Pelodiscus sinensis: one gene and its partners. The main gene of each other region encodes a partner of the protein of the gene in region 2 in a complex. Links are inferred from orthologs where the notes say so. Each region holds a gene or a part of one and is shown on either strand. Other genes may lie near its edges. The genes, in order: contactin-4, PTPRG and CNTN6.

What was found.
Region 1: the proteins of PTPRG (region 2) and contactin-4 are in contact, whole or in part, in a crystal structure (PDB 3KLD), measured with the Mus musculus proteins. The link is inferred for Pelodiscus sinensis from reciprocal best matches to the Homo sapiens genes PTPRG and CNTN4. Residues at the interface, in NP_033007.2 of Mus musculus: Lys222, Val225, His226, His227, Lys229, Phe288, Thr290, Gln293, Asp294, His295, Val296, Lys297, Ser298, Val299, Glu300, Tyr301; in NP_001103219.1 of Mus musculus: Thr128, Arg129, Ser130, Val132, Ser133, Arg135, Gln138, Gly139, Met140, Val141, Leu142, Leu143, Cys144, Gly145, Val219, Met220, Gly221, Glu222, Tyr223, Glu224, Pro225, Lys226, Glu228, Leu250, Asn304.
Region 3: the proteins of PTPRG (region 2) and CNTN6 are in contact, whole or in part, in a crystal structure (PDB 5E5U), measured with the Mus musculus proteins. The link is inferred for Pelodiscus sinensis from reciprocal best matches to the Homo sapiens genes PTPRG and CNTN6. Residues at the interface, in NP_033007.2 of Mus musculus: Val225, His226, His227, Lys229, Phe288, Thr290, Gln292, Gln293, Asp294, His295, Val296, Lys297, Ser298, Val299, Glu300, Tyr301; in NP_059079.2 of Mus musculus: Arg129, Val132, Arg135, Gln138, Gly139, Val140, Val141, Leu142, Leu143, Cys144, Gly145, Met222, Gly223, Tyr225, Glu226, Pro227, Lys228, Glu230, Leu252, Asn306.

Annotation. Positions count from the first base shown.
Region 1 is NC_134721.1:14,214,429-14,222,496, forward strand, and holds the start of contactin-4, read left to right. Parts: upstream 1-5,051; 5' UTR 5,052-5,250; intron 5,251-8,068. UniProt on the Homo sapiens protein: Contactins mediate cell surface interactions during nervous system development. Has some neurite outgrowth-promoting activity. May be involved in synaptogenesis.
Region 2 is NC_134721.1:2,585,040-2,592,866, forward strand, and holds the start of PTPRG (receptor-type tyrosine-protein phosphatase gamma), read left to right. Parts: upstream 1-4,801; 5' UTR 4,802-5,287; coding exon 5,288-5,372; intron 5,373-5,699; exon of another isoform or gene 5,700-5,838; intron 5,839-7,827.
Region 3 is NC_134721.1:13,577,218-13,584,765, forward strand, and holds the start of CNTN6 (contactin-6), read left to right. Parts: upstream 1-4,536; 5' UTR 4,537-4,570; coding exon 4,571-4,712; intron 4,713-7,548. UniProt on the Homo sapiens protein: Contactins mediate cell surface interactions during nervous system development. Participates in oligodendrocytes generation by acting as a ligand of NOTCH1.

The DNA of each region.
Region 1 (8,068 bases), about 12 Mb from region 2:
GTTCTCCAGGGATGGAGCAGGCTCTGGCATTAGGAAGGCAGGATAAGGGCTGTCCTGAAAGTAGGGTGCTGGAATGGCCTAGTGGATAGAGCATTTGCTTGGGGAATGCTATTTGATGGGTTTAAGTCCTGTCCCCCTCTTTGCTTACCCAGGCAGCCACAGGGGGCAATACCCCCTGTCCTGGCATTACAGCTGCTGGGCCCAGGGACCAAAGCCCAGTGTCTTCGGCCCTGGGTGGCAGAGCCCAGCCACAGGCCCCCTGCCTCGGGTTGAAGCCCAAAGTCCTCAACCTCTGGCTTTGGATCCTCAGCCAAGGGGACTCAGGTGGGTTTAGATTTTGGTCTCCCATCCTGGGGTAATTAATTTTTGTTCCCAGAAGGAAGTTGTGGTGCAAAAAAATTTCAGAACTCCAGAGCTAGAGACTCTAATCAGGACTGAAATCTTCACGGTATCAGGTGACCTACTGACATAGGAAGAGAGAGAGGTTATTGCTCCAAAGAGCTAAAGCTACATAGGAAAAAAAGGGGCTGGAGCAGTAGAGACGGATACATTATATCTGCAGAACAATCACAGTGATGGAAAATGTATATGTCCTATGCTTCTTACATAAGAACATAACATAAGAACATAAGAACGGCCGTACTGGGTCAGACCAAAGGTCCTTCTAGCCCAGTATCCTGTCTACCGACAGTGGCCTGCACCAGGTGCCCCAGAGAGGGTGGACCAAAGACAATGATCAAGCGATTTGTCTCCTGCCATCTCTCTCCAGCCTCTGAAAAACAGAGGCCAAGGACACCATTTTATCCCCTGGCTAATAGCCTTTTATGGACCTAACCTCCATGAAATTATCTAGCTTCTCTTTAAACTCTATTATAATCCTAGCCTTCACAGCCTCCTCTGGCAAGGAGTTCCACAGGTTGACTACACGCTGTGTGAAGAAGAACTTTCTTTTATTCATTTTAAACCTGCTACCCATTAATTTCATTTGATGTCCTCTAGTTCTTCTATTTAGGGAACTAATAAATAACTTTTCTTTATCAGCCCTCTCCACACCACTCATGATTTTATAGACCTCTATCATATCCCCCCTCAGTCTCCTCTTTTCTAAACTGAAAAGTCCCAGTCGCTTTAACCTCTCCTCATATGGGACCCGCTCCAAATCCCTAATCATTTTAGTTGCCCTTTTCTGAACCCTTTCCAAGGCCAAAATATCTTTTTTGAGGTGAGGAGACCACAACTGTACACAGTATTCAAGATGTGGGCATACCATAGTTTTATACTGGGCAGTAAGATATTCTGGGTCTTATTTTCTATCCCTTTCCTAATAATTCCTAGCAACCTATTTGCCTTTTTGACCGCCGCTGCACACTGCATGGAAGTTTTCAGAGAACTGTCCACGATAACTCCAAGATCCCTTTCCTGATTTGTCGTAGCCAAATTAGCCCCCATCATACTGTACATATAGTTGGGGTTATTTTTCCCGATGTGCATTACTTTACACTTACCCACATTAAATTTCATTTGCCATTTTCCTGCCCCATCACTGAGTTTGGTGAGATCTTCTTGGAGTCCCTCACAGTCTGCTTCTGTCTTGACTATCCTAAACAGATTGGTATCATCCGCAAACTTTACTACCTCACTGCTTACCCCTTTCTCCAGATCATTTATGAATAAGTTGAAAAGGATTGGTCCCAGGACTGACCCTTGGAGTACACCACTAGTTACCCCTCTCCAATCTGAAAATTTACCATTTATTCCTACCCTTTGTTTCCTGTCTTTTAACCAGTTCGCAATCCAAGAAAGGACCTTCCCTCTTATCCCATGGCCATGTAATTTACACAAGAGCCTTTGGTGAGGGACCTTGTCAAAGGCTTTCTGAAAATCCAAGTATACTATATCTACTGCATCCCCCTTATCCGCATGCTTGTTAACCCCTTCAAAGAACTCTAATACATTAGTAAGACAGGATTTCCCTTTACAGAATCCATGTTGACTTTTGTCCAACAAATTATGTTTTTCTACATGCTTCACAATTTTATTCTTTACTATTGTTTCGACTAATTTGCCCGGTTCTTATCTGAGTTGATTTTATTTTGGGATTTTCTTAAGCATGCAACGAGGGATCAGATAGGGTGATGAAAAAGGCAGGAAAATAGGGATGAATTCACAGGAGGAAGAGAGTGGGAAGGACAAAGGAAGAGGACCAGGGAGTTTAAGATGAATGGAAAAGTGGAGAAGAAAAGCTGGTGAGAAGCAAAGTGGGCAAGGCATGTGAGGCAGGGAGCAGAGCAAATGGCCAAAGGTAAAATCAAAGGTCCACAATTGTAATTTAAGAAGTCAGAGTCTAATGACATCACCAACATTCAGAGGTGAAAAAGCAGAGGGAAGGGAGAACAGTAAGAGGGTTATTAGGGCTTCATCCTCGGACCCTTGTGAAGAGGATTCCTTCTAGCTCTTGAAATTTGCTTAGACTCCAAAAGTGACTGCTTATACTTCCACTAAGCCCAAAAAGTGGGCTTCATAGGCAAAGGGGGTTGAAAAATGTTTTGACATTTTTCCTTCCAAAACTCCCATTTATGTCAAACAAAGTGTTTCATTGAACTGTATTAGTTCTAAGAAAATGTCACTGGGATGGCTTCTTTGGTCCAGGGTGCAGTTTCACACAGACACACACAGAGAAGAATTAAGAGCTTGTCAGTTTGGGCTCTGAATCAATGAAAACAGGGACTTAAATGTGAGTCTCTCACTTCCCTGCTAAGTACCCCAAATCACATTGACTATTTCAGGGTGTTTTTTTTTCTCGCGCTTTCTCTTTTTCTCCATGAAAAATTTTGAAATGTCTCATTTTTGCTCCTATGTAGGAAAAGAACAGTTTGCAAAATGGAATTGTTGTTTTCTCATCAGTCCTATGCATAAGACCTGCTTCCCTGCATATGCTCTCACCATCATTAGGTCTTGGGAAGGGAGGGTAAGTCAGGGAGGGTATGTCTACACTACCCCCCCTAGTTCGAACTAGGGGGGGTAATGTAGTCATACAGAGTTGCAAATGATGCCCGGGATTTAAATTTCCCGGGCTTCATTGGCATAAAACCGGCCGGCGCCATTTTTAAATGTCAGCTAGGTCGGACCCCGTGCCGCGCGGCTACACGCGGCACGGACTAGCTAGTTCGGATTAGGCTTCCTAATCCAAACTAGCTGTACACCTCGTGGAACAAGGTGTACAGATAGTTCGGATTAGGAAGCCTAATCCGAACTAGCTAGTCCGTGCCGCGTGTAGCCACGCGGCACGGGGTCCGACCTAGCCGGAATTTAAAAATGGCGCCAGCCGGCTTTATGCAAATGAAGCCCGGGAAATTCAAATCCCAGGCTTCATTTGCAACTCCGTATGACTACATTACCCCCCCTAGTTCGAACTAGGGGGGTAGTGTACACATACCCGGAGGGAGAGGCAGTTGGCCTCATCCTCTACCCCAGGGATGGAAAAGCTCAGGCCTGGGGGCTGGATGCAGACCCTGGCTTGCCAGGATCTAGTCCCCAAGGATCAGGGATCCCCTGCCACTCCACTGTGGGGCTGGAGCACACAAACTCTTACTTGTGGGTGACCTGAAACTAGTTTTTCAGTGAACCCTGACCCAAAAAAGATTCCTTACCCCTGCTCTACCTCCTTTCACTAAATAGATGGCTGTTGGGCATTTCCTTTGGGTAAACTTTAAGGATTTTCAAGGTACATCTTCTCTGAGTTAAAGTAAATAGAGAAGGTTTTGGAGGGTTTTTTTTAATAGGGTGGAAACATAGACTTAGAAGAATTTGATTTTTTTTTAAATCCAATGATAATATCTAAGTTCATTTTTAAATATTTGAAAAGATTTTTTTTATCTGTTTACATGTTCACAGTTGTGCCTAACTGTATTTTAAGCATATTTAAAAATTTGTATTAAGATAACATTTAAGGGAAATTAAGAGTGTGTGTGTGCCCGGCAATCATTATTATAATGTCAGGTTGAGATTCCAAGAGTTAGCTTTACAACCATTGTAACACAAATTGGCAACATCACATTTCAAAATACACCAAGCAAAGTATAATAAGTTCTCAAACAACATTTTTCTTACTTTGCCTATCTATAAATTTTACTTGTTACGGAGGGAATGGGGAGAGAAAGAAAAAGAGTGTTGAAATTGACATTTACTGATGAATATCGAACTCTTCCAAGCCTAAGCTTAGGCCAGTGGATAAAGCATCAGCCTGGGGACCAGGAGCACATGCATCTAGTGCCACTGAACTATGTGGCTTTGACTATATGTCTACAGTGAGAAACCAAACCCTGCTACAAGCCATTCTCAGAGCCTGGGTCTACAGATTCCAGCTTGCCCTGCCGTGCTAACTGGAGCTCTGTGGATGCTCTGGTCTGGCTCTTAAGCCTGTCCAGGGATGAGTTTCAGCGCTCTAAAGCCAGCCCAAGCCCCTACCGCTACCTGACTATTTTTCGCGTGCGCCGGAGTCTCTAGACCCAGGTTCTCCAGTTGGATGTAGGGTTTTTTGGTTTTATTTTGGTTTTGGTTTTTTGCTCTGTAAACATACCCTAAACCACTTTCTCGCTCCGGTCCTCTTTCTCCGCTTTGCCTGCGCGTTTACACTGTATGCTCTTTAGGGCAGCACACTGCCGAACGGGATCCGAATCTGGGAGGGGGTGTCTCCAGAGGTTATTGTCACGTCCGTCAGGATCAGGGAGCGGTGACCCCCTCGAAAGCAAAGGCGAGCGGACTGACTCTTGCCTGCAGCAAAGCTGTCACCCCTGCAGGGGGGTGTAATGGAACCACGGTCAGCGGGAGCCACGCGAACCTGCCCCCTGCAGAGAGCCGGCTGAAGGGGGATCCAGCCAGGGTCCCGGGCTCCCCACGCAGGGCTGGCGGACCGGGGTCCACGCCGGAGGCGCGGGTAGTTGGCACACACGCCTGGTCTTTCGTTCTCTCCTCCCCCACGGGCGGGCGGCCCCGGCTCAGGTTTGGGGGGTGGGGTTTGCGCGGCGCTCACAGGGCTCCCCAATCTCTGACGTTCAACGCCGCGGCCAAGGGCTGCTCGGTGTAAGAACAGCCCTGCGGGCTGCGCGGCAGAGCGGGGAGGCAGCGCTCGGGCAAAGGACGCCTCGGCTGCGCCGCTGCACAGAGCCCGCGTCTCCGCTGCAGCCGCCGCCGCTGATCGCCCGGCCGGGGGGCGGGGGGATCGGACCGCAGCTCGCAGCCTGCTCGAAGGTAAGCCCGGGCGGGGACTGGAGCGGGGCGCCGCGGATCACCCAGGCTGCTGCTGGCGCGGAGAAAAGGCGGGGAGAAGTAGTGGGGGGGGGGGGGGGGGTCAGATGGACCAGACCTGCCGGGGGGGGGGGGGAGCTGCCGGCTTGGCCCCTGCTGCCCCAGCCCGCTCCGGCTGCAAGCGAGGAACTAAGTTTGTTTGTTGTCGGACAGCCCTGCCCCCGCCCCCAGCCCGCCACCGCCGGGGCCAGGACTCGCCCTTGTGCAAAGGGCCCCAGTGCACCGGGCGTAGCAGCGCCCGCAGCAGCCGCTCCCCGGGCGGTCCCTGCGCTGGCGGAGGGTCCGGCGATTCGGAGACTTTGCCAAGGAGCAGGTTTGTTACGGGGGGGGGGCGACGCGCAGAGAGGGGATCGGCCAGTGCTGGATCCTGCGGGACCCCGGCAGCGAGCACTGGGGAGGCAGCAGAACTCCAGGGGCTGAAGTTGCGTGGTGGCAAAGGGGCTTGGGAAAGAGACCCAGGGCATCGGCTCCCCTCCCTTCCCGGCTGATTCCCACCGCCCCAGCCAGACTGCTCCGTTCCACACGGAGGGCTCACCCGGAGAACTCCCGATTTCCCGCTCCGCTTTGCTAGACAGCGGCTATCTGGGCAGCCCCTTGGCCACCGAGCCCAGCCAGCGGCACCCGGGCGGGCTGGCTTCCGCGCCGCATCGTGCCTCCCCGCCAGGCGCTCGGCAGTGGGTCGCGGCGACGGAGCCGTTCGTGTGATTCAGCCCCGAAGGGAACCGCGTTCGCTCCTCCTGCGAACTTCAACCTGGGGGAGCGCTGGTCGCGGCTGCCCCCTTGGAGCCAAAGAACCAAGGGGCGCGAGATCCCTGCAGCATGGCGAAGCCCAGGCGCCTAGGAGAGGAGCCTGGTGCAAGGGGATGGCTCTCCTGTGCTTCGCAAGCCCCGACCGACACGCCTGACAGAGATCGATCAAGCCAGTGTCCTTGGGAGATGCTGGAGATGCTGAGTGCAGCTCGGCGAGGAAAGGACCAAGCCGAGCGTGTGTGCCGGGGGGTGGAGGGGCTTGCCGTGTCGCTACCTAGTACAAACCTATGCAGAACTTTCGCGTGTTGCAAACGAGTGTTTCTTGATGCTTAGGGGGTTTGGCAGCTCTTCCTTTCCGAGGGCTGATGTTAGCTCTCCGTGTGAGGAGTAACATAATGCAGCATGTTGTTTTATTTATCCCCGAGAAGCGTGCCTTGCTCCCTAACCTACAAATTACACGATGTTGCTTGCATAACAAGTGGAATTAGTTTGGATCTTACATACTAATGTTAGGTCACCTTTTGGAATAAATGGAAGCAGATTTCTGCAGGAGGAGATAAAAGGAGGCTTTTGTCTGTGGCCATGTATTTGTTTTTTTCCGCCCCTTAGCAGATGAATGAAGGTAAAATATTAAAGAGATGCCAGCCACATGTATGCATGTACGATTATTTTCCCCTCTTTCATCTTTTGTATCTGCCCTCATTTTAAAAATCTATGGTTCATGATTTTTATATGCTAACAGATAAGTCACCGGAGTTGCATGCAGTAGAAGTTGATGCAGGCTTCCTATTAAAACAGTCCTGCTATTTTGGAAATCCATTATTAAATAGTTATTTTTTAAAAATAACTGTTTCAACTGCTGGGAATGCCATGGGGCATAAGATCAGAGCATGTTTAACAAGGGTAGTTTTCCACCTGAAATAACCCACTCATGTCTCTAGTTATCAGTAATTCTTCCTAGCATCTCTTTCTCTGTGTAGAACTCAAAACTAATATGCAAAATCAGGTGCTAGATTGGTGGTGGGAGAATGCAGGGGAGAAAAAATTCCTGGTGCGTTTGCTGTTTTTCTCTGCAGGAAACTTTGTCTTCTCTGTCTAGGCTCATCAAAGTTTTTGTGTTATTAAATTGCATTTGCCAGTTACTGATCCTGCATAAATGACTTCTCAATAATCTCTTAAAGTCCCCCCACTCCTTCATCTGCTGTTATAACTTCTTATTTTTCAAAGATTACTCCCCCCTCCTAGTTCTATTAGGTTCCCTACTTCCTCCTTTAGAGGAATGTATGCTGCTAATTTTCCCCAAACTCCTGATTCTTTTAGGCAATGGCTTCCAGTGCAGAATACACTACAGTGTATTTATCTTCATAGCTTCTGTGTGCACACCAAAGACAAATTAAAGTCATGATCCAAACACCACTGAAGTCAATGGAAAAAGACTTTGATTAACTTCAACAGGCTTTGTGTCAGTGAACTGTTGAGGGAGGGAGAGTAGGGGTGAAGCTCTAAATGTATGACATTTATAAATAGTTGTACATGTGCTCAAAAAATGTGCATGTTTGAAAATGGTGCCCATTTACACCATAGGTTGTTTGAAGATCATGCTTAAGTGAAATCATACCTAAAATGCCCAGATTTCTTGAAGAGCTCTTTGTTTTGAATGTATTCAGAGGAACTCTGATGACTAGAACTGAAGAATTTGGAAATCTCTCTTACAGTTTAATTTAAGGGCTCCATTGTAGCTGCTTTCATTTTCCTGAAGCTTAAGCTTTTCTTGGATCATGAATGGAAGTTAAATTGCTTTTTCCTTAACAAGAGGAAGTCCAGGGAGCTTTGCCATGGCGTAGGGAAATTGAGCAGTAAAATAACACTTGAGTGCCTTAATCATGAACTTGCATGACAACTCCAGTCATGTGCTATTGAGATATGAAATTCTTTACTGCTGGAGTTATGTGCAACCATTTAGTGCCTCCAAACCTTGTGCTATGAGACAAGTTACAGCTAGTAGCCTCTA
Region 2 (7,827 bases):
GACTTTTAATGCCTCACAACACACTTAAAGAGGAATGAATCTGTCCTGAGGCTATGGGAAAGTAGCTGTTCTGATAAAATAATCCATGAAACTCCAACTTCAGCACTTCTCCGTTCCTTCCTTTGCAATACCGGTCAGAAATAAAGGCTGCTGAATTCATCTGCAATCTTATAACACACATGACTCCTTGTAATCTGAATTGTAGCCTCTAAGGTACATCATGGTGACGGGCTCTTGCTCTCTCTATCTGAGCCACATCAGTGAGTGGAAATCCATCGGTGCTATCCTGCTTTGCACCAGCGAAAGAAGTCGCCTTTTGTTTTCAAATGTTCCAAAATGGAAGTGGCTACATGCAGATTTAATTCCCTGCCAGCCCCGTTTTTATTCTCCCTCCCTCCCTCAGTTCTTTGTACAGTCATTATACAGATTAACAAGCCTGGTTTGGAAATGATGAATGTTATTAATATTCTTCCAATTCAATAATCCTTCTCGTATTTGAACGGCGTGCAATATTTTTCTGCTTTCTTCAGCTTTTCGCTAATTCAAATATATGACAAATGTGAGTCTTGGTTTCAGTTTTCTATTATTTCCCTTGTCTGATCAAATAAATTAACAGACTGTCATTCCTTTCCCAGGAGTGATGCCCATATGTCAAGGAAGGCAGGGTGAAAATATTACCTGTTCAAACAAGATGATAAAAGTTTTCATACATTATTCACTCGTCCATGCAAACCAGACAGAGATGCTGATCCTATTCCTTTCACCTTGACCAGTGCCCACTATATTTAATGGTAAATAGTGCAAGATTTGCAGAATCTACATCAGTCCAGTCCTCCATGCATCATTTCCCCTTAAAGTCCGCTCTCCTCTTTTCTCACAGTGGCAGTTACTGTGATCACACCCAATGGCAGTAGTCACTTTAAACAATGGGAACGAATCGACTGTCCTAAATGCACACTTCTCCCAGCAACGTGGCATCAGTTTAAATCCAGCATTTCGTGCTGTCGCGGCAGTTTTCTCTATTTGGACTATCAAGGGAAAGATTCCTACCTAGCTATTGTTGTTTGACAATGTGCCATCGGCAAAAAGACGCTGCAGGAAATGGATGCACGTTTAACAATGATGCATACCATTCTCCGGGCCTCTGTCATACATCTGTACCATTCTCCTACCCATCTCAAATGCTAATGGAAAAAGAAAGTTGCTTCCCTCACTACAGGTCTTTATTTGATAGATGATGATGTAATGATTGATCGGCAGCTGTAGGAAAACTGTTATGTACACTGTACCTTTGGCACGTGGAACCAAGAGTTCAGCTCCTTTACTTTTCTCTCGTTTTCTAAATCTTTCATAGATGTTAAGACCCTGAAGGAAGCATTCGGATCTTCTAGTCTGACCTCCTCCATTTCTTTTAATGGGGCACAGCTGTTTACAAAATATGCCTTACGAAGATATATGGGATAATTTGCTGTCTGAATGCCGGCGCCAATGCCGAACGCTTACCTACTTGTATCTCAGTTGTGTGTGTTTGTTCTAAGGATGGGAACGTATAAATCAAAACTCCAAGTTCAAGATGTGGAGTTAGTTTCAGGATTTTAACTTACAAGTCTAGACAGACATAGGCTAATGTAAAATGATCAATATTTTAAAATAAAACACTGTGGTCCCAGTAACGTTCATTAATGATTTTGCATCAGTGAGAATAATTAATGCAAATTGCATTAAAAAAACCCCACAGTTACTTTGTTCTGCCCTTATGAGAATGCAATTGCTTTTTAATTGCTTTTCTCAAATAGCGTCACCTGTTGAACTTCCACTTACAGGCCTGGTTTTGCACACCAGTCTGCTGTAATTTTACAGAGTTAGCCCTTGTTAAAGTAAGAGCACCTGTTTTGCCTATCACTCTGGCTAGGTCAGGGATATGAGGCTCGAAGTGAGAATGTTGCTCAGGTTTTCTGGAGCAAACCAATAGGAGCAGACTAGTTGAATATCTGTTCATAATCCCTAAGGTCAAAACAGGTGTGAGTCCCCTCCTCCTCCCCCACATCCTCATTTGCACAGGAAGAGAAAATGGATACAGTTTTCATAGTTTTACCTTCCTTATTTTCAAGCTACCCGAAAGAAAGTAATATCATGCAGACAAAAATGATGTACTTTGAGAATTGTTCAAGTGCCTACGGTGTTTGTCCATTTCTTCAGGCCTTTGGGTCTTTTGTTTTGGTTGTGGGTTAGTCACTCTGCAAGGGCCTTGAATTGAGATTCCTTGTGTACCCAAAATGTTCATGACCTCAATGGCTGTTTTGAGCGTGCAAGGAATGCAGGATCAGCCCCTAATTCTGAGCTGTACTACATGGCAGGCACAACCTAGAGTGAGGAAAGGGAGAGAGGGCAAAGGCAGACTTAAGGTATCTTTGTGTCTCCTGAATTTGGGGCCTTCCAGGCTATACTACATAAGAACGTCAGAACGGCCAGACTGGGTCAGACCAAAGATCCATCCAGCTCAGTGTCCTCTCTTCCCACAGTAGCCAGTACCAGGTGCTCCAGAGGGAGTGAACAGAACAGGGAATCATCCAGTGATCCCTTCCCTGTCACCCATTCCCAGCTTCTGCCACACAGAGGCTAGGGACACCATCCCTGCCCACTTTGGCTCTTTTTTGAACCTTGTTATAGCCACCCTGTTCTGCATCCGACCTGCTGCACGTGAGCCTGATGGCTCGGGGCTCAGTCTCCTTCCCATGGCAGTGCAGGGCTGTTTCCGGGTGTGCAGCGGGGAGGATTGGAAGAGGGGTTTGCTGCATTCCAGGCCCCTAGGGTACGGCTACACTACAGGACAAAGTCAAATTAAAATACACAACTTCAGCTTCATTAACTGCTTGGGTAAGTAACATCCTCCTTTGCTTTGTTCCTTCTTCCCTTTCATCCGCCCTCCCCCATATAAAACTAGGGTTTGAAAAGGACTCCTAGGTGAAAGGCACTGCACGTCCATAGGGGTAAGCCAATGCCAGCAAATAACAAAAGCAGCAGTGCCCCATTCCAGTCCCAGTACGTCATGTGATTTGTAGCTCTTCTTTGACTGGAGAAAAACAAATCCTGTAATAAGGTATTTTTTGAATATCAGACAAAAACTGTATCGGAATGACATTCAAGTGCCGACAGAAGGTACCAAAGCCAGCCGAGCTCAAGTTAATACTCAAGATAATTCCTTCTCGGTTCAGCCCACTGACTCAGCAGGGCTGGAGCTAGAAGTGCTGGGGGGACTGCCGCACCCCCTGGCTTGAAGTCGTATTAGGAACCCCAGAACCACCTACAACATCCCCCCCACTTAAACATTCTTCTAACACTTCCGCAGTGTGTGTTTCCCATGCCTGTAAAGTTCCTTCCCTGTCTATTGCTGGAGTAGGTGTCAAGTCTATTTTGAAAGTAGCATTTAAAGAAATATTTGTCTTGGTTAAAAAGCCTATGCTAGGACAGTCAAAAAAAGACCTAGCTCCATTTATGGAGGTTAGGTCCATTGATGCTTATTAACCAGGGTGCTTAGGAAAGCTGTCCCTAGTCTCCGTTTGTCAGAGGCTGGGAATAGGTGACAGGAGATGGGTCACTTGATGATTCCCGGTTCTGTTCCCTCCCCCTGGGGCACCTGGCACTGGCCACTGTGGGAAGACAGGACACTGGGCTAGATGGACCTTTGGGGTCTCTTCTGTGCTTCTTTTATTTGGTGTGAGGTCTCTGGCCATCCCCAAAGGAATGATAGAAGACTCCCTCCCGGAGCTAGCAGGACGCTCAGTGTATACAGAGGGCGGCGTCATAACATAAATAACTTCAAACAGATACAATTTAGATAAGAGTGAAGAATTTTAAATTGCAAATGGCAAATGATCTGGACTCAATTACACATTTAATCAAAACCAAGCCGGCCCTAGTTAGAAGCAGTAGAAAGGCAAAATACTGAGCTGCTCGCTCCAACGTGATACCATCTCGCAGCGGAAAGGAAGGGACCGAACTCATTACAGATAAGCCGCGCTCCCATTTCCCTCGGATTGTTTTGTTATTTAAAGGAAAGGGCTAAAAAGGAAATCGCTCCCAAGTATCTGCCCGGCCTCCGGGCGTTGATCCTCCCCGCGGCTCCTTTTAACCCCACGCTGCTCCGGGCAGCAGGGACCGGGGATCCTTAACACATGCACCGCCCGCCGCCAGCCCTTCGTCGCAGGATTGTTCTGGATCCGATTAACACGGCAGCCCATCCGTCCTGCTGTCTGCTGTGGTGGCTCGCTAGTTAGCCCGGCTCCTGCCAAATAGATCGATATTGCTTTAAACCCCCCCTGCTGTCAGGAAATTGAAAAAATATGCAGCAGCAGGTCTGATTTGCAAAGGGACTGGAAGGACCGCGCCGGTTTTCGCCCCCTTCGGAGGGAAAAGAGTGTGTGTGTGTGTGTGTGTGTGTGTGTGTGTGTATCGAAAGGGGTTTGCAGGCGAGTGTGCGCGGCGTGAGACACAAGCTGCACAGTGCGCAAGAGCGTGTGTGCAGGGAGACACACGTGTGTGCACCCCCCCAGAGGTGCTTAGGTGTGAGTACACACACACACACACACACACACACACACACACGGCCCGCTCACTAACCCCTTAGTTTCCCCGGCCAACTCCTCCAGGGTTCCCATCAGCGGGAGCGGCAAAGGGAGGGGGGAAGAGGAAATAAAAAAAAAAGGGGGGGGGGGGAAGGAGAAAAAAATGTGAGCACGGCCCCTTTAAGAGCCCCGGGGGCGCGCACAACCACCCGACTCCCCTTCTCCCCGCGCGCCCCCGCCTCCTCTCTGCCTCTCTCCGCTTTAAAGTGTGAGCCAGGCGCCGGGCTCACATGGCACTTCCTGTGCAGGGCAGAATGGAGCGCGCCCCGCTGCCGCCCGCCCGCCGCCGCCCAGCCCGCCGCGGAGCCCCAACTTCCCGGGGCATGGACTGAGCGCCCGCCCGCCGCCAGCCCCCGCGCTCCGCTGCAGCCATGGCGTGGCCCGGCCAGGCGCTGCCTGCATGAGGAGCCCCAGCCCCGCCGAGGCGCTTCTCCTCCCGCCGCTCGCCGGGGACTGAAGTTGTGAGCGGGCTGCCCGGAGCCCCCTTCCCCCGCCCCCCAGCTCCGCGGCTCCCGGCCTGGCGCTTGCGGGACCCCCTGCGCCGGCTGCATCCCCCCGCCAGGGCGGCGGCGGGGGCCCCGGGGTGTCCGCGCCCCGCGGGGCGCAACTTGGATTGTCAACAAGTTCCCGCCCCGCGCCCCTTTCGATGCGCGCCTTTGGACATGCGGAGGCTACTGCGACCGTGCGGGTGGATCGTGGGCTTGCAACTCGCCAGCGCCGTGCTCCACTACGTGGTGTGCTTCCCCGGTGAGCCGCGCCGCGCCGGCCTGCCCGCGCCCGGGGGGGTTGGTGGGGGGCAGCTCACGCGAGCCCCGGGCGGGCGAGCCCCACTCTGGGGGGGGGGTGTTTGGGGGCCGGTCTGCGCCCTGCCCGGGCTTTGTCTGGCGAGGCGGCTGGGGCTGGTTCCCCCCCCCGCACTTAGCCCAACTCCCCCCCCCCCCCCGCGCGGGGAGCGGGACCGGCTGCGGGAACCTGCCCCCCCCCCCGTGTGTGTGATGGGGGCCGCCTCCCCTGCCCCCGGCCGCCTCCCCTGCTGGGCTTCGCCCGCCCCACCGCGCACTCCCCGGCGCCTACCCCGGGGCGCCCGGTGCCTCCCTCCGGCGCGCTCGGCTTGGCGCAGTGCTGCCCCGGCGGAGCGCGGAGCCGAGCCGGGCAGCCCGGGGCGTGAGTCCGCCCAGCCCGCTGCAGCAGCGGGGGAGCGCGGGGCGCCCTTGGCTCCAGCGGGCCCTGCCGGGGCGCCCCGGGGAGGCTCCCTGCTGCCCCGCGCCCCCAGCCTCAGGGGTGCCCCGCCGCTCCCGGGGCCTCCCACCTGCGCCGCTCGGCTGCGCTCCGCCGCCGTCCCCTTGACCTTGGTGGCGGCCGGGGATGCGGTCTGGGGCCGGCGGGACAAAGGTCGGAGCCTGCCCGGGCTCCGGCGGGGCGAGGTGCGGGCAGAGCCGGGCGGCTGCTCTGTTCCGAGCCGGGCAGAGGAGGGGGCGAGAGCGGAGCCCGATGCGGAAACTTCCCCCGGCGGGGAGGGAGTCGGGCTACAGCCTTCAGGGGCGCGGGGCTGCCCCCCCATGGGGCTGGGATCCCCCCACCCAGATGTTGCCTGAACAGCTGCCAGGCTCGCTGGGGTCCCAGGCAAAAGCCCCCCGCTGCTGCCGAGGCGCGTGGCGAACGGAGCCGGGCGCGTGTGAATGGAGCCCAGAGCTAAGGAAAGTTAAAATGTCAGGGAGCCTTTGCAGGAGGCTGCTTTGCCATTTTCAAAGCTGCAGTGGCGCGGCTCTGCCCCCAGAGGCGCAGCTGAGCCGGGCTGCGTCCCGCGCCTCCCCACAGAGCCCCCCGCGCACGCTCCGGAATGGACGTGTCACTCCTGGGAACTTCTCCGGAGCGTGGCTCTGTCTGGAGTGGGTGTGGCAACGGCCACTGGCCTGCGCATCTGCTGGCTTGCAGCAGCCACTCAGGGTGCCCAGAGGCAGCTGAGAGCAAGGTCTCAGGCTGCCCAGTTTCTCTGGCCAAGGGTTACAACACCCACTCCTGCCACAATATATCTGTGCCCCTTGAGGTTTTAAAGGGGCGTTGCTAACTGCACCTATGTGAAGCCGGTTTCTTAGAGCACCCTGAGAATGTCAGCTGTAGCTGTATTTCTTCCTGCACGTTGCTCTAGAAATATCTAAGGGGTTTCCAGTTTTCCCCATTCCTGTCTTAGGACAATCTTTATTGTGGGGAAGTAGCTGGAAACAAGGAAATGGATTCTGCACGAAGTGCTATCACATGCACACGGCTATCTTTTTTTTTTTTTAAACTTCTTTTGCTTCAAATATTATGACTTGCGTAGCTACAGTATTTTCAGCCAGATGTGGTTTGTTTTATTTAAATAGTAGTGGTTTGGACTTCACTGACTTTCAAAAGTCTGGAGCTATATTTTAAAAACCTACTTCAGTAGCTTATTGCAGAAAGAGCCAATTTTCATGTCTTGCAGGCTCTAGCTGCATGCTTTTTCTGTTAATTTTTATTAGTTTTTTTTAAAGTCAGCCTATGTCTTCATGGAAAGCTGTAACACAAACCTTCTGATGTAACTTGTATTGTAGGCAACTTACAGGATACATTCAGAGTTTTCTGGAAGCTTTCTAGTAACTTTCAGTTCTCATTTTAAATACATACAGGGCAACTGGACTGTATATTCCAATCACTTCAGTAACTTATCAGATAATAAAATGACTTCAAGCAAAAATAAAATAAGCCAGAGTGAGAGTTAAAACCTCCATCTATTTGAAATTTTGCAGCTCTTGAGGAAAAACATTTATCTTTCTTGTATTGATTTCTTCTCTATTTCAGCTCTGAGAGGCCTTTCTTTCTGAGTCTGATGTATAATATGCAGTAATTACATCTAGAAAGCAGGTTCTAAGAACAATTCAGGAAAACAAGCTCTGATGTAGGTTTAATATGACAATATTGTAAGAGTAATTTTATATCAATGGAGTTCAAGCTAGATCATATTTTCATTATAGGTTGATGTGGATATATGCTCCATTGCATGCCCGTGTTCATGTACCATGTGTAGCTAAATGACTTAACAACATACATATCTGTGAAATAGCTATATAATATTTACAGATGCTGTTCATCACGGAGGCTTTTCTTGGAAAGCAAGCTACTTGGCTTTTGTGGATGTAATTCTCAGATGCTGCTACCATGTTAGGCCTCATTGAAAGAAAAC
Region 3 (7,548 bases), about 11 Mb from region 2:
TGGATGTTAGCACCCTCCCATTCTCCCTGCTATCAGTGAACCAGCATCCATGATAACCAATCCGCCTCTCCTCTGAGAGTATCATTTTTAAAATTCCCAAAGGGCAGAGGTGGGTAGAAATGGAGCCTATCCTTTCATTATTTTGTCCATCAGTTAGTCCTAATTTCTAACACACCAGTTTTGGTCCACCGATTTTCAGTCCCACATTTCTGTTGTTTAACAGGGCATGATCTTTACAAAATCTTGAATTATATCTGTAGGCCTTTTGCATTTGGCCTAATAATCCGTGTCCCTTTCCTGATAAATATTTATTGTTACAGATTATTGTGCTATTTTATCAACTGTTTTATTCACTTCCTTGCATTTAGGATCATAGCTGGGGTCGCTGCACTAGGCCCCAATGATCACTACAGGTCTTTTAAAAAAGATATGTTCCAGTTCAACCAGATGTTTTGGGCCTGATGGAGGATTTGGTCTATTCTTCATGTTATGTAAGAGATCAGAATTAGGAATGTTAACAAATTAACTGGAAAGCATACTGAGACTTAATAGTAGGCTTCCTGGTTGATGAGCTAGATGCCAGCATGGGGGCTGACAGTCTTGCCAGGTCCCTGTGAAAGGTGGGGGAAAGTCTGGCTCCAAGCTCCCAGAAGGGGAAGGGCTTCAGATGGAAAGGGACGGGATTGGGTCAGCCAGCCCTCAGTACTGTCCATACCACCTCCTCCCTCCCAGAGTTGCCTGGAGCATGCTGTGTGGTGTTCCAGCAGCAATTTAGAGGGCTCAGGGTGCCTCCATTGTGGCAGTAATGGTGACAGCAGCCAGGAACCGCAGACCCTCTGGAATCACCAGGCCCTGGGACATTTGCACTCTTTGTCACTCCCCCATCGACAGGTCTTGGTGGCAGAACCTAAGTAAAAATGGGCAACCGTTAAGCGCTATCATTTAATCAGTTAACTGTTTTAACATTCCTAATCAGAATAGTTGATCCTATTTTTCCTGTCTAGCCTTAAACTCTATGAATCTATAAAACACATGGGCTACGTCTACACTGGCACCCTTTTCCGGAAATGCTTATAACGGAACAGTTTTCCGTTATAAGTATTTCCGGAAAAAGCGTGTCTACTTTGGCAGGATGCTTTTCCAGAAAAGCACTTTTTCCGGAAAAGCGTCCGTGGCCAATGTAGACGCGCTTTTCCAGAAAAAAGCCCCGATTGTCATTTTCTCGATCGGGGATTTTTTGTGGAAAAGACTACTGTGCTGTCTACACTGGCCCTTTTCCAGAACAGTTTTTCCGGAAAAGGACTTTTGCCCGAACGGGAGCAGCATAGTTTTTCCGGAAAAACACTGACAATTTTACAGTAGATCGTCATTGCTTTTCCAGAAAAGCAAGCAGCCAGTGTAGACAGCTGGCAAGTTATTCCGGAAAAGTGGCTGCTTTTCTGGAATAAATGGCCCAGTGTAGACACAGCCGTATAGTATTTATTTCACTAGAGGTCTTTTTTTCATCAGTCTTATTTGAGAACATTTCCTCTCTAGGCAAATATTTAAACTAAGCTCAGTGACTTGCATATTTTTGGTTCTATTCTGAAGATAAATTAGCAGTCAGTGATGTATTTTTGACATGCAATGATAAATATACATTTTAAATTATTGAATTCAAAAAAGGTTCATAAAACTATTAGATCAGCTGGGATTAATATAAAGATATTAAAAATGATTTGAAATAATCCTTCATGGATTAGTTAATATCAGATAAATACACTAGGGCACACATGCTATGATTAAACACTTGTCTGGCAATCACATGGATTCATTAATTCTGTTCCTTCATTGATTTAAACATATTAATTAGGAAAAAAGCCCACACCAGGAGCTGAACCCCTGATCTATATGCACAGTTTAATAATCATTGTACCATGGTGATTAGAATGATTATGGGGATAGTGTGAAAAATTCATTTGCTGCAACTAAGCCAACAACTTTGCATTTGTGTTGAAAAACAATTATGGAGCTTAATTGGGAGCCATGTAATGATGACAGCAGTTATTTCAGTGATTGATTCTCAAATTAAAGAGAGCTGGCAAACTAAATACCACTATTTCCTATGCTAGAAAACTAAAAGGAGAACCAAGGTCCAGAGAGCATGTACAGTACACAAATTATGAAATATGGAGAACTACTGACTGTGATATAGAGAACTGCTTCTTATAGAAGGCTGATGGATGGCCATTGCCTACAGCTCTGCTTGTCCTGATAAAAATGTAAAAGATAAAGGAATCCAGGGATCAAAATTAGCAGTAACTAGAGGCAAGCAAACTATTGCTGTTCTGCAGTTGCCACTAGACTTCTTAATGCTAAAGCATTCATAAAACAGAAGTCAGAGATATGGAGGATCCAGCTAAATTATTTAAAGCTTCTAGAATTTGTTCACAAAAATTCAATTGATTTGATATTTGATCAATCACTTCTCATCTTTAAAAGCATATATCCCTCTCCAAGGTCATGTTTCTTGTCTTTCTCTGTATATATTTGTCAAGATTTTCCTTAGAGCGTGCAATGACATTTCACACGATTCTTTGAAGCAGTTTCTCCTACTCACAAATAATCCGCACAATCAAATTCTTGGAGAAACTCCTCTCAGCGGTTGGCTCATATACATTTTTTTGCAATATATATCAGGGACAGTTCCTCAGATGTATAGCCCTATTGATTTTAATGAAGCTATGCCAGTTTATGACGGCTGAAGATCAGCTACCAGTGTTTACATTTGTGGGAAACAGTTTTAGTTTAGAAGATATTGGTGAAGGTACAAAAGTCTCTTTCAAGTTTTAGACTATAGTATCTAGTTCAGCTAAACTATCATCACTTATTGCTGAAACTAATTAGTACTCTATATTTTGCTCTGTTAGTCTATGGATAATTAAACAAAATTCCCATGGTGCAGAGAACTTACAGAAGGCATCCATGCCACTTAAGCCATGCACAAGATTTCTATATATTTTGGGGTATGTCTAGACTACATGGCTCCATCGACGGAGCCATGTAAACTCGTTTACCCGACACAGTCAATGAAGCGTGGATTTAAATAATCCCTACTTCATTAAAATAAGAATGGCCACCGCTCTGTGCCGACAATCAGCTGATACGGCACAGAGCGGCAGTCTAAACGCAGATCGGTAGACAAGGGAAGCCTATATCAATCGCTCCCTTATGCTTTGTGAAATCCCCGCTTCATTGACTATGTCAGGTAAAGTAGTTTACATGGCTCCGTCGATGGAGCCATGTAGTCTAGACATACCCTTGCAGGTCATAGAGGGGTCCACATCACATCTACATGTCAGTGCAGTGTTTAGATAGAGTGGAATGGGGGAATGCATTAGGTGAAAAATGATAAGGATCATGTGGAACTAGTGTGGAAAAAAACCCCTTATGTATAGTGCAAGGATAAGGCTCTAGATATTATTCAAGACCACTGCTTGGACAACACCTACTGAAGGGCCTCGCCCATATGAATGCTAGTTTTTTGGGGCTTTAACTGAGTTATGTGAATTCCATTCTAATGTGAATAATGGCAAAGCCCTGAGACACTTCCTTTTTAAAAATTAAATATATATATACAGGCAGTCCCCGGGTTACATGGATCTGACTTACATCGGATCCCTACTTACAAACGGGGTGAGGCAACCCCGCACTAGCTGCTTGCCCCCAACAGACCAGGGAGACACGAAGCTAGCGCCTCCCCGCCCCCCACAGACCAGGGAGACACGGAGCGGCTTTTCTCAGCAGACACCTCAGCTTGAGAATAAAGGACTGAGGGAAGTGAGGTGTGGGAGAATAAAACTGAGCTCTGGAGAAATGTTTGGCTAGAGTTTCCCCTACAATATGTACCAGTTCCGACTTACATACAAATTCAACTTAAGAACAAACCTACAGTCCCTATCTTGTACGTAACCCGGGGACTGCTTGTATATATATTTATTTTCAATGAAATATTATGTTTATTTTGACATTTGGAAGTAGCTGTGAAATGTTGCAGACTCAATCTTTCTACTTAACAGACTGATAGTGACAACTCATGTTTTAAAATAGCACCATTCTTATTATTGTATTATCAATCTCAGACATGCTATAGAAAACCTGGCTGTTTTCTTCTGCTCTTTGAAGTATAATCCTTTCCTGATTTATATCTCTAAAACATTTCTATAAGCAAATTTATGACATCACTTGCAAAGGCAATAAAACACTTTCAGGTACCATTTATATTATAAAAATAATGCATCTGCAGTCAAGGTATCTGTACTCCCAATTGGATGAATAATTTAATTTTTTATAAATAAGTTATAATTACCTTTTGTGGATATGGGTTGAACTCTGGTGACTAACATACAAGCAGCAAAGATTTTTAAACCGAAGAAATATTGATAATATTAAGATTGATACACTTTTTTTGTTACAGGGATGCTACAGCACACTATTTGATAAATCTGAATAGATGCTGTAAATTATAAGCATAATTTGATTTTTTTCCCCTCAAAGGTGGAAGCAAAATGGTACAGATATTGATCTTACCATGAGTTATCACTACAGGTTGGTTGAAGGCAGCTTGGCAATCAATAACCCACATACAAAACAGGATATTGGAACATACCAGTGTTTGGCCACAAATTCATTTGGAACAATTCTGAGCAGGAAAGCAAAGCTTCAGTTTGCATGTAAGTTATGAAAGCATTACTTTCTAACTAATTTTGTATGTGTCATGTCATTTATTTGATCATTAAAAGTATCACAATGACTACAATGAAAGGGGTGAATTTATCTCTGCAGTGCTTTTCTATTTTAGATTTAAAAAATCCTATTTTCTTATAAATATTTACAACTAAAACAGACTTCCGATTCCTTACAGCACTCAGAGAACAATAATTACCACTGCTGACTGAAAGGTCAAGAAAGATGAATGCAATTACTTTTGTTTAATAAAGCTATTACAATTTTTAAGAGGGTGGGGTTTTTTTTTGGCCTGAGTGATGTTCATTAGTTATCTTCTTCCATACCTAGCCACACGTGCAAAGAAAAAAAAGCTAAAAAAATGCAGAAGACTAGGCTTTATGGTTGCTTCTGCATAATGATGCCCAGCAGTGTCACATAAATGTCACACCAGTAATTACCTCAGTGACATTTTGTTACATTAAGAGATATACAGGAAGATTCTCTTCTTCTTTATATACTGTGTAAAAGGATATTGTTGTGCTGTGCTGAAATGTATCATATTTCAGCCGGGTTGGATGCAGTCACAGATGTCAATTTGAACCAGTTTCTGAATTATTATGCTAACCCTTTTATTATTTCTTCTGCACATTTTTGAATGGTAACTGAATTTTATTGGTACCCTCAAAGGAAACTTGAAGGAAGCCACACATTTTACATGCACTCATTTTTTTCTCCTTTCTAAAGGTCTGCACTGCCTGTTACTGTGAGAAAGCAATTGTTTTCAAAACTCATTAATAAAACATACATCTAAAGCCAACCTTATGTCGCTATTTCAGACATCAGTAAATGTATTAATTATTAATCCTGTTCCATTTCTCATAGCAAATCTCATGTCACAAAGGTTATACAAAGGAGACATCAGAAGTTGAGATAGTTCACAGACTTTCTTTTCATAAAGCTGATCATTTGGTTTTATCATTTGTACTGAGTTTTGTAATTTTTCCTTTTAATTTCTTAAGCAAAGAGATTTGGTCTCTAGAGATCGGGGCAAATGAAAACCAAATTTTAATTCATCATAGTCTGACCCTTTATATTTGCTTTTCTCAAATATTTCTGCGAGCAACCTTTTGTTCGTGGGAAATGAATTCCAAGCTAGTAGGTGAAATTTGCTTTGTGACCAAACAAAATCCCTGTCAGGCAGAAATAGTGGAGCAGCCATATTAGAATTTTGTTTGTGGAAACTGTGAGTACATCTACTCTGTGTAGCTATTTCAGGATACTGAGGTATCCCGAAATAGCTACTCCACATCTTAACAAGCCACCTGTTATTTCAAAATATTTTTCAAAACAACGGGTGCGCTATTTTGGCATCCCTGTATCCCTCATTTCACGAAGGTTAAGGGATGTCTCAAAATAGTGTATTATTTCAAAATTTGGCACTATGTAGACATGCCAAATTTAAAAATAAGGTATTTCAAAATAGAATTGATATAAGACGCACAATTTCCATAGAGCAAATTGCATATCTTATTTCAAGTTTAGGGTGCTGTGTAGACGCACCCTGTGAGTGAAGAAAGAAGCAGGGTAAGTTACTGGGAGGAAACTGGGGAATGAATGGAAGAGGATGAGCTCAAAAGAGGAAAAGGAATGTACCAAGAGAGACTATGAGGAGGAAGCTGAAGGCTATATGCCAAAAACACCTCCAATTATGGTATTCATTACAGACTCCATCTCCGCATGGATTGAAGGAAACTCCTCAGTTCCTTCAGCCATAGGCACACTATACTGCCAAGAGGAAGATGTATCCATTGAAAGGGACCCTGTAGAAAAAAATAAAAAAAATATTCATACCCTATTCACAGGATTTCCTGAAGGTTTCTAGGAATATTACTTTTTTCACAGCCTGGATTGCAAGGGTAGGAAAAGGAGGGAGCTACAAAATATGAAAAGGAGCTTTGGAAGAGTAGAATAGAAGAGAAGGGTGGCCTGCAGGAAGGACTGTCTCTTTTCACTTGAAAGAAGGAAAGGAAAACCATTCTCTGCCAGGCTGCTGTTGCAATGTTGTTTTTACACATTTATTTTATGAATCACATGATCAATGGTATTAGCTAGGATTACTAACAGAGATACATTCCATATACAGAGCTGGTGTTTGAAGTAACATCCACCAATGCAGAGAAGGAAAACTTTGCCAAGTAGTGGAATAGAAACACAAACCTGTATTTAGCCAAAGAACTTGAAGGTGAGAATAAATCTGAGGCAAACTGCAAAGATACATATCTCCAAACTGAGTAGGAGTTAACATTATTGTATGGTGCTAGGCCAAAAGTAGATGGATTTCTTTCAGAAGTACAACATAGCTCTCAGAAACGCAGAGGAAATTGTCTTTGCCAGACAAATAATATTAAGATGGACAAACAAGAATTCAATATGCTTCAGCAGTGGAGAGCAAGGATATTACATAGGAGACTCTCTCAATCCTAGATTAGTGTACCAAATACTGGCCACATGTTATCAGGAGTCAAACTTAAAGGAAAAATATAAATGATTTTTTTTCTTCTGTCTGTTGGCCAGAAAAGCTACATCACAATCAGATACAATTAAAGCAATTCAACAACTAGTAAGGACTATGACTGTATGGATAGTGTTAAATGGTTTTATCTGTTTAATACAGGAATTTTGGCACTCTACCCTGGTGAAGCATTCTTCCAGAATAACTTAATTCATTGAGAAATAAGATCCCTTGGTTTTAGAGGTTAAAGATCAAGCAGTTAGTTTACTGAGGCTTTGTGTCCTCAGAGACACACTTTGCACAGCTACTTGTAGGACCAATATTGAACA